2 linked regions of the Caenorhabditis elegans genome follow. The protein of the gene in region 1 purifies or fractionates together with the protein of each later gene. This does not show direct contact. Each region holds a gene or a part of one and is shown on either strand. Other genes may lie near its edges.

What was found. The genes of interacting proteins can lie anywhere in the genome.
Region 2: the proteins of T21C9.6 (region 1) and cpt-6 fractionate together in Caenorhabditis elegans (co-fractionation; one large-scale study listed by BioGRID). This does not show direct contact.

The regions. Positions count from the first base shown.
Region 1 is NC_003283.11:10,579,598-10,588,213, forward strand, and holds T21C9.6 (Phosphoenolpyruvate synthase), read left to right. Parts: upstream 1-2,289; 5' UTR 2,290-2,294; coding exon 2,295-2,395; intron 2,396-2,939; coding exon 2,940-3,024; intron 3,025-3,069; coding exon 3,070-3,461; intron 3,462-3,503; coding exon 3,504-3,595; intron 3,596-3,640; coding exon 3,641-3,705; intron 3,706-3,786; coding exon 3,787-4,272; intron 4,273-4,318; coding exon 4,319-4,458; intron 4,459-4,508; coding exon 4,509-4,748; intron 4,749-4,795; coding exon 4,796-5,015; intron 5,016-5,095; coding exon 5,096-5,413; intron 5,414-5,463; coding exon 5,464-5,944; intron 5,945-6,256; coding exon 6,257-6,665; intron 6,666-6,715; coding exon 6,716-6,851; intron 6,852-6,894; coding exon 6,895-7,437; 3' UTR 7,438-7,480; downstream 7,481-8,616. Other genes in the region: lpd-9 (LiPid Depleted), read left to right, coding at 210-342, 764-955; srg-32 (Serpentine receptor class gamma), read right to left, coding at 7,570-7,647, 7,691-7,819, 7,868-8,056, 8,199-8,336, 8,418-8,616.
Region 2 is NC_003283.11:6,488,745-6,496,070, reverse strand, and holds cpt-6 (Choline/carnitine acyltransferase domain-containing protein), read left to right. Parts: upstream 1-2,149; coding exon 2,150-2,242; intron 2,243-2,456; coding exon 2,457-2,747; intron 2,748-2,793; coding exon 2,794-3,216; intron 3,217-3,355; coding exon 3,356-3,549; intron 3,550-4,348; coding exon 4,349-4,865; intron 4,866-4,916; coding exon 4,917-5,216; intron 5,217-5,263; coding exon 5,264-5,452; intron 5,453-5,627; coding exon 5,628-5,861; 3' UTR 5,862-5,985; downstream 5,986-7,326. Other genes in the region: lec-10 (Galectin), read left to right, coding at 7,060-7,080, 7,148-7,326.

The DNA.
Region 1 (8,616 bases):
TATTTAATCTGTTCCGAAATACTAAATATTTAATCATCTATCCAAAAATATGCGTTTGCTCCCTTTAAAAGCATTAAAAAATGCATTAAATTGTTGATCTCTTAAAGAACAAAATTGATTTTTCAATGCTTGTAATATCTATCCCTCGAATACAAAACAGTTTCCTAAATTGGTGAATTTTTGAATCATAAATTTTCAAATTATTGCAGTGACTCCCACGCCGTCTGGAAAGAAATCAACAGACTCGGAAGTGAGGGAAAATGGGATAATGTGAACAACATGCCAAAAATGTTTTTGTTTGGTGAAGCCAAGCAGGAGACGACAGCTGCTTATCGTGCAATTGTGAGTTTTTTAAAGAATTAATTATGTTCCCGAAAGTACAGTCGGTTCGAAAATAGTTCGAAAATATGTTTTTGTTTTGAGAATTAATTGCAATGCTTTCAAAATAAGATAACCTTAGTACTTAGTTTACTGAATTTTTAATTTTTTGATCATAAAGCTTCCACAGCTATAGATTTATAGTGTCGGGACTGTCCGGCGAGGCTAAAAACTTGGCTTTTGAAGCCGCCATAATGTTTTTAAAAAAATTTCAAAGTTCTTCACAAAATCATATATTTTGTTATGAAATGGCATAAGTACTACAAAAAAAATCAATTTTCTCATGCATAAGTAATTAAAAAAATTTTAAACAAGAAAACGTTCAATTTTTAAAAAGTGACAGCATAAAATAAAACGCAATGCGATTTGTATTGTTTTATTTCAGAACAAAGACCCCGACTTCTTCCGTCAATCTCCATATGGTCAATATTTGAAAATTGTGTGGCGATTGGCTCTTCTTTTCGGAATCATCAAAGCCGGAACTGTTGTCTACGATTTTGCCGTTCCAGAAGAGCAGCGACTCAAGTACAAGTACCGTAATCACGGACATCACGGTCACGACGATGCCCATGACTAAATTTCTGATTCACCACCGTCCGAACGTCTTCTTTTTGCATAGGAAGAAAGAGCCCATTTTAGTGTATTTGTAATCATTATCATTATCACAAAAAGATTTTTCTTGTAAAAAATGTCTTCCCATAAACATTCACAACATTGCAAAGAACATATCCAATATTCGAATTAGAAGACCACCCAGATGGAAATTAAATACGTCGGCTGGTTTTATTTGCGCCGTCAATTCAGTTATCGAAAAAATCATCATCGTCATAAACTTAGTTATTGATTATTTCCTGATAACTACTTATACGTTCAACCAAATCATTTCGTTATCAGCCACAGTTTATATGTGCCATAAGATTCTTCAGCACTCAACTTTTCCAGTTTCTTATTTTTTGAACTTACCAATGCTAGAAGTATAAACATAGAAATTCACATTCTTTCTAGTTAACTTCTCTGCAATGACTGGTCGTTTTTGGAAAACATGGTTTGTACTCAAACTATTCAATTTTTTTGCCGAATTCTTCTTCGAGCCCTTGCCATAGATTATTCATTGTGTGACATCTCTATTGTATTCTCTATTATTTAGTACTAACTTCTCTGGAATTCGACTTGCATGTCATACTATTAGAGTATATGGCCGTGATGATAGGCTTGTGATGATATACCTTGTGAGGGCTGTGAAAAACAACAAAAAATCGAATTTCTCCAGAAAACCAAAAAAAAAACACTCTATTTTTTTCGATTTTTCATCAATCCAACTAAAACATAACATCTTTGAAAAACAATTTTTCTGTTAATTTGGTCTGAAAAAAAAATCAAAAATCCATTTTTACGAAAAAACCAAAAAAGCAAAAAACCGACAGCTCTGCTATGATATACTCATCTATGATGTGATATAGATGAATGTCTAGCGATGATTTTTTATAGAAACAATATGCCCGATTATTGAGCCTTAAAAATTCACTAAAATTTCTCAATTAATCTTTGTTTGCCGAGTTTGACATATAAGTTGCTAGAAGCTATTGATCTTTTCCATTTTCCAACAACAAATATTTGACCTTCAATACAACAACACTAATTTATTAGCACAATCACTATCAAATCTGCACGTACTTTTGTATTTATTTAATGATTTAATCAAGAGTCTTTTATCAAACTACATAGATATTCTAAGTGTCACATGAAAATCAGTTGGCAAATATATACATTTTAAAACTATTTTATAAACCGTTTCAAGACAAGTACACTTGAAGCTATCTCTGATTACTAAAATACTATCAAGATCTATCTCTTCAGTTATTGATGTTCTTACATGTATTGCTATTGACATAAAATTCTACGTATTTACAGAACAAATGTTGATATTCCTGTTTTTGCTGTTTCTTTCAGCTCCACTATGCAAGTTTGTATTGTATCCAGTGATATACGCGTTCCTTAAATGGAGACATCCGGTCAAGTGAGTACTAATGTGATTATGGACCCAGTATGGGGCAATTGATCACTTTTTTGTTTACGACCCAAACTGGTTATCTATATTGAAATTCGAGTTTTTTGTCAATTGTGATTTGATACTATCAGTTGATTAACAAGTGAGCACACTTTTTTTTTTGAATGAATAGCAGAAACCATACTTTGATAAATTGACAAAAAGTTGAAACTTCTATCTAGATTTCTATGGAAAATATGAACGATGACTATCCGATTCGTTCACTCTTATAGTATTTAAAGAAAAGACATGTGCTTGAATAGATAAAAGATTGATTTAAAAAATTACTCAAACGTTTTTGCAATACTTTAAATACCACTCATTTTTTTTCGCTGATCGAAATTTGGAAATCGTACTTTTAAAACATTTTCAAAATAAAATCTTTAACTGTTCCCTTCTTGCATATTGATGGTATTCATGCATATTGTCTTTTTATAAGTTCTAGTGAATTACCGAGATTTTTTTGATTTTTTTTAAACTAAAAAAGGCTACAGTAGACTCAATACAATTTCAGAAAGTTCACTGCTCCAACTGCAAAGATTCGTGACATTATAAACCCTGATAAAGAGGAATGGGAACTGGAACATATTAAAAATGAAGTATGAATAATAAAAATAGACACGAAATTCGTCCTTTTTTTGCAGGAAATTCTAACAATTAGCGGTTCTGGAGAAGATAATAGTTTTGTGTATATTCAAGTTATAACAAAGAATGAAATTCATTTTGCTCATATTCGAGTTTTCGAAAAAGGAATTCTTTATTCCGGATCATACAAAGCAGTATTCTCCGATAATCGAACAATTTCATGTGGACCATTGCTAATTGAGCTTCGAAACCCATTCCGTAAATGGAGAATTAATTTCCGTGGATACCTGAATGATGCTAAAGGCAACTCTCATTTTGTTATACTTTCGGGATGGTGGAAATGTGTGTCGAATGCTAGATTTTTCTATTCAAATGCTCTTTTGAAGTCATTCAATGAAATTTACAATGACAAACCAACTGCACTGATTGAGAATTTGAAAACTATCGAAAAGTGACTGAATCATTTCTTACAAATACGTTATATCAACTTTAGGTACCGAAAAGGAAATGTGTTAAACCAAATGGGTGAATATCACGCAGAAATCAAAATTGGGAAAGATGAAGTTGTCGAACATAGATATAGAGGTTGAAAACACACGATACAAAAACCAAATTCCATCAAAGTTTCAGGACTTCGTCATAGAAATCCATTAGACTTGGAGACAAGTTCTACACATTTTCATACATACCTGAGCGTAAGGTTTATTTATCTTTTTTGTATTATAGAAAAGTAGAAATACTTTTTGGCTTATCCCGCTTAAGAAAGTAGTTTTCAGGATGCAAATGCAATTTCCTATCGTGTCAACTCTGTAGATGAAAAGAAATCAGTTAGTCACGGAGTGGGATTCCGTTCAGATCACAGTGCTCGTCCAATAATTATTGATAATTCTCATTCCCTTGAGTCAGATAATATGCTTCCAGTTCAATTCAAATATGTTTCACGTGGACTTCTCCCTCTTGAAATGAGAAAAGGACGAAAATTATGTCATTTCACGTTTATTCGAGAAGACAACAAGGTTGTCGACGTTACTGCGTTAGAAGTTAATTCTGCAATTTTTACGGGAGTTGGATTTGTGGTTAGAGTGAGAGAGGCAATTCATGAAGTTACAACTAAACTTCCCGATAGTTTCCCGGAATATCATGCAACTGAATCAGAAAAGATGAAATCAGTAGTCTCATTCAATCACAGAGCATGTCAGGATAAAATGTTAACTGGCGGAAAAGGTGCGAATTTAGCAAGACTTCAAGCAATCACCGATGATGTAAGTTCTGAAAGTAAGCATATACAATGTTGAAATAGATTTTCAGTTCCATGTGCCTCCTGGAATAGTTGTCACTACCGCAGCTTTCAACAAGCATGTAATTGCGAATCCAAATGTTTTAGAAGAAATAAAACTTCTCGATATCAACGATAAAAATGCCGAGTATTATGAGGATGTTGGTAAAAGGTAATAAAATAAGTTATCAATCCAATATTTAGAAACATGACATATTTTAGAATTGAAGGGCTTCTTTTCGAAAGTGAAGTGTCTCAAGAACTGCAAAAAGAAATTAAGGAGTGGTTACCGCGTTCTGAATACTATGCAGTAAGATCATCTGCAGTTGGAGAAGATGGAGCAGATCTTTCATCAGCTGGACAACTGGAAAGTTACTTGGATGTGATTGAAATTGATATAGTTGATAAACTGAAGCTGTGTTGGGGCTCTAATTTTAGAAGAGAAGTATTGAATTACAGAAAGTAGGTTTTAACAAGTTAAAATTTCAATCACAATGTGACGTTTACAGAAACTACGGTCAGCAGCTTAATCCGTCAATGGCTGTAGTTATTCAAGAAATGGATCGAAACGGAGTGGCTGGAGTTATGTTCACCGCAAATCCAGTAAAATTAGATCGTGGAGAAATTGTGATAAATGCATTGAAAGGAAGTGGGGAACAAATTGTGAGCGGTGTGACGACACCAGATGAGATTTACGTAAATCGAATCCATAAAACGGTGGTCATAAATGTAAGTTGGGTTTTCTTAAAAGGATTTTTGCTATATTTTACCTTTTTGTCAATAAAGAAGTACTACAAAAATATTTTCAGAAAGTTGGCGTCGATTGTTGCTTGGATGACTATCAGATTGAGAAACTTACCAAAGTTGGAGAGTACTTGGAGAGAATATTTGGAAAACCTCAAGATATTGAATTTGTTGTTAGAAATCAAATGGTTAATATTGTTCAAAGTCGAGATATTACTGGTTTGGATAAGGAGACTCAATTTGAAATGTGCACAGAATATAATTCGCCAAGTATTCATGACAAAGAAATTCTAACAAATGCAAATGTTGGAGAAGTTCTTCCAGTTCCGGTTAATGCCATGGAAGCTCATAATTTAACTGGAATGTTTGATAAAGTCATTGCAGTAAGAATAACAATATAATTAAAAAAATTAAATTATAAACAAAATTTCAGTCAATGACATTTCAAGAGCTCAATGATGTTGTGCCGGCACATACTTCAATCGGCTTTTCCGTTGCACACCGTAAAATATTTTTCAATTTGGGAGAAGTTGTTCTTCGAATTTGGGAACTGGTTGAAAAAGATCGAATTACTGATATAGTGATTGCTGGAGAAACTCTTTTCAATGCGGAAATGTTCCAACAAGCAGCTCATCAATACGGAAAAGTTTCACCTTTCTTTCCGTTGAAGAGAATGTTCAACATGATCAAGTTAATATATTTTACATCAAACAGTGTGAAGGCGAAAATTGTCAAAATCGACGAGGAAGCAAAGAAACTGGTGCCAAATGATAAAATGACGATTGAGATAGTATTCAAAAAATATGACGAGCTTGAGAAGTTGTGGTGTGATGCAAGCCATTGTCACACCAGTCTTTCAATGTTCTCTTCTTTCACATATGTGCTATGTGGAATGCTTATTCGTGGAAGTGACAGTTAGTTTTTGTGGAAAGTGTTGAAAGGCCTTCAAATGATATAGAGTTTAACTGGAATTCTTAAGGAAGGGTTAAGCTCTCCTTAAAATACTATTTTTGATAGGTTTTTAAGAGTTCACACAATTGATGATTACGCATTAATCATTTAAAATTGTGTTTGTTATTTAGCAGCATACTTGAAAATACCTATAAAATTATGATTTCTGTGTCAAATCTGTCCTCCTTTTGATTCTTGAAATTAAGTATTTCTAAGTTGTAATTATTCAAATTTTATAGAATCTGATATCAACTTCCATTCAAAATATTTTTCAGATGGACCTCTTTCCAATGACAATATATCCGATTTTGCCAATGTGTTCTCCAATAACTCTCGTGGAGATGTAATCAGTGCTGACGTTCCAAATTCTTTAAAGAAACTTGCAAAAACCATTCGAGAAGAGAGTATTGATAAAGAATTTTGTGCTGCAGAAGACGATGAGGCTTTGAAAACACTTGAAAACGGAAAGAAAAGCTCTGACGAATTGAGAAGATTTCTAGAATTGCATGGACATCGAGGGCCGAAAGAACTTTATTTAGATGCTACCACCTGGGAAGAGGACACCAATTTATTAGTTCATACAATTAAAAGTATGTTGGCTTGCCCAGAAACGTCTGGGAAGACTATTGAGAATGAAGATGATATTATTGATAACTTGAAATGCAAGCCGACTGGTATTAGAAGGTGGGAAACTTTTTGTAACCATTTGAAAAAAATGCATTTACACATTTCAGAAGACTTTTGAAATATTTCATCGGTCAGACACACCGTGGAGTTTCATTTAGAGAAACAGCAAAAAATCATTTAGTTTCCACGACACATTCTCTTCGAAAGGCATGCAGAATGGTTGGAAAGAAGTTGTATGAAAAAGTGAATTAATTTAAAATTTGCTGCAAGTAATTTTCAATTTTAGGGATATCTTCCTGATCCAAATCTTTGGATGCACTTCTCAATGGACGAACTTAAAGAATTGAATGCAACAAGAAGTGCAAAACTTGTTTCCAGAGCAATCAGAAGAAAACAGATTTCATCGAAGTTTGAAGGTCTCCAATTTCCACTTGTTTCTCATGGATACATGAATCCAATTAAAATAGAAATCGCTGAAACTGATGCAAATATTGGTATCATTCTTCGAGGAACTACAGTATGCGAAGGAAAAGTTAGAGCCAGAGCAAGAGTTGCCAAAACATTGGAAGAAGCAAAAGAGACAAAACCAGGAGAGATTCTCATTACAAAATACACGGATATCTGTTGGTCTCCATTTTTCCCAATTATCAGTGGAATTGTCACCGAGATTGGAGGACTACTCAGTCATGGGGCTGTTGTTGCAAGAGAGTATGGACTACCAAGTTTGATTGCAGTTTCCAATGCAACATATCACTTTAAAACTGGTGATCTTGTTGAACTGGACTCTATTTCTGGCACAATTAGCCGACTGGACACTAATCAGGAATAAATTTATGTAATCAATTTTTTTCAAATAAAACTGTTTTATGTGAGTGTTTATTCAAAATTTGATATTCTAGAACACAAATAAAAAAGATGCGTATGTTCACATTGGTCAGTAAATCAGTAAATAAAAAATATGTTAGTACACGGAACTTGTTACCATGACAGCTCTACTCCTGAGACTGGGAAAATGGTCTGTTGCCATTGACGTACGTACCTAGAAAAATAAGACATGTTTCACAGAATTATATATCATTTACCTTGGTACTAAAATACATAATAGTCCATGGATGATTGAAAGTGAGTATGTCACTAACAAAAGGCATCAATGCTTTTGCAGTTTGGGCTCCGACTGACATTCCTTCTGATGGTGCGGCGCGAAGAATCAACTAAAAGTATTGAAATATTGAATAACTGAGGAGGCAAAACCTAAATACCGTATCTCCGAGAGCTAATAGCTGAATAATGAACGAAACAAAGCTGACAGTAAACAGATTTCTCTCTGCACCACTGATCCTTGTTGGAAGAAGAGTCAGACGAATTATTGAGACAATGTTTGCAGTTGCGGTAAATAATGTAAAAACTATCATGAATGTGACTAGCGAGTTTAGCACTTCTGTTGAGTTCTGAAAAACGAAAAAATTGAATATATTCATAAATTCAGACTTTAAAAATGTTTTGAGTTCATGTACGCTTTGACACACTTTTAAAAAAAGTATCTCATTGAGTTTGAATACATTTGCAACAAATTGTAAAATTAAAACATACGGCTACAGTTTTTGTTGCAAATCCTCCCAATGTTGGAGAATAGATAAAGTATGCGTTGTTTGTCGCAATTGGCCATGTCATAATCATAGGGAATATAATAACTATCATAATAAGGAAAGGAAGACTCGGGCGCCATATCTGAAATAACAAAAACACTTAATAAAAATCGTAATAAAAATTCTCTCGAGGTCTTCTAAATAGCATGAACTCCTAACTCACTTTCTCATAACTGTCAACAAAAAATACCATCGTCAAACGGTTGAGAGAAGATAAAAATGTCATGAAATACTGAATGAATGCCATGCAATAGTGAATGGTAAAGAATACTTGAAGAGGAAAATTATCTTCTTCTGTAGAAGAATTTCTCTCAAAAAGAAATGCAAATGTACAATTGTTGCAAGTATTTTGAGGGGCGCGA
Region 2 (7,326 bases), 4.1 Mb from region 1:
TTTGTTCGTAGGATATGAAAAAAATTCTAACTTTTATTAGTCCAGGTAATACGGTAATCTGGTTTTTCACAAAACAGCCCTCTGAAAATTGTTTACAAGTGCAGCCCCAGTATTGTGTCTTATTTGGAATTATTCGGGAAAAGCTTGAGTTTATGATCTACTAATTTTTTAAAGTTTGTGCACTTTCCATTATCAGAAATGTTGTGGAAAGCTCTTTCTGTAAGGTAAAAAAGATATTCTGATGAAATAAATATTTTATTTTACATACCGTCGTGCAGGAAACAATTCCAAGAAACATATTTGATTACTTTTTTAAAATTATTTTAAGCTACAGTATGAAGGGATTCTACCCGCAGTTTAAAATATTTCCCATCTGATAAAAACTTTTTTTTTAATCCTAGGCTACATCGTAGCACCCTAAAGCTTTCCCATTTCGACCAGCTGTGTTTGCATCCACGAATTTTCTCATAACCGCCTGCAGTGAAGATTCTCCGATAGTAGGTCAACCAGACAAACTTTCCCTCTCTATCATTTCGCCCTGCTTGTGTGTTTCCTTACTCTACATCAAACTGTTATCGGACATATTTTTCGTCGACATTTTGACCGGCGGTTATTGTACTTTTATAATTTTCCAGTGCGTTTTTAAGCTGAACTTTCATTTGAATTTTGGCGGGTTCTTTTGTAGCTTGCTCGATTTCCAGGTGACACAATTGATAGGGCTGGGAGATCTTTCAAACTTAAATCTAGAGTTGCACCAGGGAATATCATCTATATACTCGTACGATAATCTGAAATAATCGAATATCATTTTAAAACTACCGAAAATTCTTGGATTTTTCAGATTTTTCAGGAAAAATTTTGGTAAATAGCCAATTTTACCAAATTTAAAACAGGTTTTTTTGAGGAATTTGGAGCAATGCGGCATGTTTGAACTTTTTTTTATAGTAGGTAATTTTAGCACTGGTTTTAAACAGTACTCCCAATTCTTTTAAAATTATCAAAAACTCTTGATATCCCAACTTATTATTTTACTTCTGAAATTTATTTCCAAAATGAAAATATATTATTTTTAGTAGATAAATTGCACCATATTCTTTCAAACCACCTGCACCAAACCTCACAGGTCTGACTACAATCTAGTTACGACCCCTTTAAATCTAGATATTGATCGGCCTTCTATCTAGATTTTGTCCCATTGTTCCTTTTATCGACTAGAATTGTGCACACCATATGGTGTTCAATATTGCCTTTTTCCTCTTTTCCAGATACGTGTTCTACTTTTTTGTTTTCAGTTTGTTTTTGTTTTTTATAAAGCATTGAAAGTAAAATTTTTTTTAGAAATGCATATTGTTTAACTAGAATTTTTGATTTTTCCGGAATAATATTTGTTCTGTGTTACAAAATTTTTCAGAAAGCCTTTCAAAAATTTTGAAACTGAAATCTTTTTTCAAATCTTCCAAATAAAAAACATATTGAAGAATATATGACGGGTTTTTTCTAAAAAATTATTTTTCCGCAATGCTTTATTTGCAGGTTTTTCTCCAAATTTTGGTTGACAGAAAATAAATTCTATTCATAAAATATGCCGTATTTCCTTCTCACTCTACATCTCTCCATTTTCTGATGGGATTTAGAAACCCTATATTTGTTGTGCTCAGGCTTTTTTTTCGCTCATTCAACAACACGGAACAAAACTCTCGTTTTTCATCTTATTTTTTGCTTGAAGCAGACTCTGCTCACTCTACTCCACTTTGTACTCTACTCTTTTTGCTTCAAAAGCCATCGTTCTCTTATCTCAGCCATTTTTTGAAGAGTTTCCAGCACATGATTCTCTCGAAATATTTTGTTTCCTATCGATAAGATTATGAGAATGAAAGTCAACTAGAATACGATCAGAATACAATTTTGATCTTTCTCCTTTAAAAAGTCAGCAATAAGTGTAGACGGAGACTGGAGAAAAGGCAAAGTTAAATTGATAATGTAGATTAATTAGTTTTCTTTTTTTGTGATTCTCATCCCCCAATTTTATCACCACAACATCACTCACGTTCATCAAATTTGTTGTTTTTTCGTCTGCAGCCTTCTAAACTTTATTACCTATCCTGCCAATTTCAACTCTTCAATTTCAAAAACCTTACCATAATTTCAGATGTCGTCCAACAAAAAGAAAACAGTTCGTTCACCATATCCTTTTCCAACAAAATTCCCATCGCCAATTGAACAAGCATCCTACAAGACCTACGTAAGTTTTATCAAATCAGAAAATTGGCTAATTTACCTCAATTGACCTTTTCTACGTGTTGTGGGAAGTCAGAGAAAAACTAGTTGTTAAGTGGGTAGAATTTGGAATTTCGAATTGGATCTAGTTTAGGAAACAAAACACAGAAAACAATTTTTTTTTAAAACATTACCTTTTTCAAAGTTACCAAACAACCATGAAGTATCTATATTTTCAGAATTGGATTGAGAACACACTTTGGCCTATCAAACCGATTCCATTCGTTGCCACAACCGTTGCTCTGGCGGCCACCCTACACTACAAATACCCAGAAAATGCGATTCTTGATCTTCTTCCAAAGTTCGGATCGGAAGTTGCTGAAATTGCAAAAACCACTGCAGTCGCGGCAATTGGATCCTACGCAGGAGTATTCACACTTCGAAAACTTCTCAAGCACTTCTACTTCTCATACAAAGGATTCTTGTTTGACAACCCAAAGAAGCCATGTTTGAAAACGAAAATTTGGGGTGTAAGTTATTTTGTAACACCATCAGAATTTATTGTTCAAATTTCAGATTGTCCGACACATTCTCTCAATTTCCCCACCAATCCTTGAATCTTGTGATCGCCTTCTTCCGAGTCTCCCGGTACCAGCTCTCAAAGACACTATTTCTGAATACCTTGACTCCATGAAACATATTCTATCAGAACAAGAGTACGAGATTGTCGCCAAGCAAGCACATGAGTTTCTGGAAAACGAGGGAAAGAAGCTTCAGAGATACACGTGGATCTACTCTTTGTTCACCGACAACTATGTCACCTCGTTCTGGCAAAAGTATGCATATCTTCATGGGAGATACCCACTTATGATTAATAGCAGTGTTGCTCATTGTGACTTGCTCCGAGACAAAGAAGCAACACGAGCTCACAGAGCAGCTCGAGTAACCTGGATTGAAGTCATGTCGCATCTTGCAATTGATCGTCAACAGTACAAGGCGGTATGTTTTTTTTGTGATTCCTGATCGTTTGTATTTTGCCCTATTTCTTATCAGTGAATGTTACACGTCGCAATCTTGCACCGAAAAAAACCAAACAATTGTTTTGATAACATTTTATCATCAATATGAATGTTTCCAGCTTGGCGACGGACTTGTCTGCACCAGACATTACAAAAATATGTATGCAGTAACCCGAGAACCAGGGAAGAAGATTGATCAGCTGATATTGCACGGAATTCAGAAGCACATTGTAGTGGTGTTGCGTGGAAAATACTATAAGATTCACGTGGTTGATGATAAGAACAACATCTACACTGTGGAACAATTGACGAAGTACGTAAAAGTTAATCGAAAAAGGATCTGCACTACTGATATTTTATAACATCAGAGTTTATTATATTAGTCGCAAGACGCAAGTTGGAAAAATATTCTAACCAGGAAATTGCATATGGTGTAATGGAAATTGTAAAGCAAATGGCATATTTTCTAAAAGCTCATCAAAAGCTATGAAGAAAAAAGTTGCTAAAAGTTTTATCGTTTGCTAACTTTGGCAACTGCCGATATCATCTTCGAAATTGAATTCAAATATTTTTGTTAAAAACAACTCATTCAGAGATGCTGAAAAATGCGAACATCTTACTGTTAAATACCATTTTTTCTTAAAAATTCCAAAGTATAAGCTCAGCAACAATTTATTTTAGAGCAACGCTAAAACTACTGAAACTTCAAAAAATGGGGGTAGCCAAAAATACAGAGTTAATTACATATTTAAATTTTAAACACGTTATATATACACGAAATTTCAAAAATTTATTTTAAACGCATTTGGTTATCTTTATGGAAAATATGGAATTTCAAATGTGCACTGATTTTCAAATTTTTTTAAACTGAGAATTTTGGAAAATATGGAGTTTCAAATGTGCACTGATTTTCAATTTTTTTTAAACTGAGAATAATGGTGAATATGGAGTTTCAAATGTGCACTGATTTTTAAATTTCTTTGAACTGAGATGCATATAAGCGTCAAAAAAACATGCTAAAAATTTCAAAATTTAATGTCAGCAACTTGCCAAACATTTTAATAAAAATTCCAAGTAAAGCTTTAAAAATCAATATAAATAATTAATTCTAGAATTTTCCACGAAATGATTTCCCGAGACGAGAAGGAGGAAGGGGTTATTGGAAAAATCGCAGCATTGACCCACGATACCAGGGACTCTTGGCACAGAAACCGTCAAAAGTATTTCCTTGGAAACGTGAAAAATGCTCAAATCCTCAAGGAAATCGAGTGTGCTGTATTCTTTTTCACACTCGATGAGAATGATGATTATGGATATGATGAGAAGAAACCCGAAGTTCTCAGCAACTTCCTTGCCAATTGTCTTTCTGGAGATGGAACTAATCGATGGGTTGATAAGTCTCTTAATTATATTTGTTCGAAAAATGCTCGATGCGGTGGAACAACTGAGCATTCTATTGCGGATGGAGCAGAATTTGATCATATTATGGAAAACTTTGTATATGTAGATTTGGAAGTTTTGAAATACAAATCAATTGAAGAGCAAGAGAAAATGGCAGTTATTGAAGAGAATGATAAGAAATCTCTGAAGCTTGCTACTCCATTGAACTTTGAAGTTCCAGATCAAGAGGTAAGCTTCATTTTTTGCCTTACCTTTCAGGTCAAAATAATCATTTTTCAGATGCTCTCCGAGATCACTCGCTGCTACGATGCTCATCAAATCGCCAAGAATGACCTTGACCTGTATGCCCTTGCATTCCGTGATTTTGGAAAAGGACGTATCAAGAAGTGTGGTGTCTCACCAGATGCATTCATTCAAATGGCTATTCAACTTGCCAACTATCGAGATCAAGGCAAATTTGTGCTCACATATGAACCAGCATCAGCTCGATTCTTTGCAAACTCGAGGACCGAAACTTTGAGAACAGTTAACGATCACTCTTGTGAATTTGTGGAAGCTATGTTGAATGCAAATGAAACGGTAAGTTAATTTGAAGTTATTAAGACGATGAAAAATTCAAATTTCAGAAAGAAGCCAAGATTGCTCTTTTGAAAAAAGCTTGTGAAACTCATGTTCTTCGAAACAAGAAGTGTATGGTTGGGCAAGGAGTCGATCGTCATCTCTTTGTTCTGTATATTTTATCTCAAGGAACGGGGATTCAGAGTCCTTTCCTTGACAATTATATTAATCAAAAGTGGAAGCTATCTACCTCACATGTGAGTAATCATTAAAATAAGATGACATAGTGCTATGTATTTGGCAGTTGTATCACGTAACTTTCTAATAATGAGCTGAAGGATTTTAATTCAAACATTTTTCAACAATTGCTTTTTCTGGATTTTCCTAATTATTTTTTTTTTAACTTTACAATTTGAACATATCCTATTCCAGGTTCCAAACGTGACTAATCAATGCGACGAGGACACTGATTCAGACAACACTTGGCTCGGAGCATGCTTCGGAGCAGTCGCTGCTGATGGCTACGGAATCTGCTATCGCTTTGGAGGAAACCACGGAATCTTTGCAAACATCACAAGTTATCATTCCGCTGCCAACACTGATTCAACAAAGTTTGCAAAGTTGCTCTCCGAATCGTTCCACGAACTTTCAAACCTTTTCGTTTGAACCATCCCATTTTGTAACAAACGGTTTTATACCCATAACTTGTACCAATTTGAACTCATTCTGCACTATCATTCTAACCTGTTTCATATATTACTGTCACTCAGTCAATAAAATAATTTTTATTAAATAAAAAATTCTCTCGTGTATGACCCATTCAAAAATCACCTGAAATGACTCATGACCAGTTCACGATCTATGCTCAATTCTTGGTGTACACCAGACTATGACTCATGTAAAACTGGTGAAATGTCAAACAGAGTTTCCGATCAAAAATGGCAATTGTACGAGAATTTCATTTTTGATAGCATCACGTTGTGTGTGCCGATGGAAAGATGATTTTAGCACAAAAACTGCAAAAAACGGTTTTTATAGTGCACCAAAAAAGATGGAAAAAGATCTGAAAATGAATGAAATTGAAACTTAAATCTCTTAAGATTAAATATGAAATTTTGCCAATCTTTTCGGTAGGTTTTTGAAATCATGGAAACAGTTCTGGAAAGTTTGCAAACTTGACTATTTGTTTAGCTGACAAATTGTTGATGTGACTTGAATTCGCACCCTTTTCTAGATGAACTAATCCAAATTAACAAACGTAACGAAACATTTTCGAGGACAACAATCCTTTCATATTCATAACTACAGAAATCTGAACACCTTTTCAAAACATTATTTAACATCTAATTTTTTAAAATTCGTGGCATTTGTATGTAGAATTATGTTGTAAAATGATGTAATGATAGTGAGAAATCATTTAGATCTGTAACCTAAATACAATTTTTATACCCTCTATTAGACAAAACTTGATATTTAAAACTTTTTGTATTTCCAAAATGATGTTCCGTCATGCTGAAAAACAAAATAAACCAACAAAAAATTATGCTTCGAGCTGATTACTTGCAAATTATTAACAGAAACATTTCATTCCTAATCAGACGCAACGATTGAATTTGATTTTTCTTCCCCATCAGTTGAGTAATTACATCCTCTTTCATTGAATTCCAACTTTTAGTCTTATTCAGTTCTTTATTTGCCATTGATTTCCCAAATGTAGAAGTGTGTCTGATACCTCCCATTGATTCTTAGTCTTTAAGCAAATAAAACTCGCCTGATGTCATAGAAATATCGATAAGAGTTTGAATAAAAGTCGTGGCATTTCCTCACTTCTCTATCGGTTCAATCGGTCTTACTATCAACTAACATGCACTCCTATCACAACCCCGTGAGTTTTTGATTTTCTAGAATTTTCCAGTTTGGAAACTTCAAGTTTTCAATAAACCAAATTTCAGGGTGTCCCAACCGCTCTCTCGATCTTCGAGCCACTTCAAGATGGATCCACCATCTCTGTTCACGGACATGTTCGTCACGGACATCACAAGAACTTTGCCGTCGAGCTTTTGAGCGGACCAAATGTTGTTCTTCATGTCAACTTCCGTTTCCATCATGAACACGTCGTTGTCATGAACTC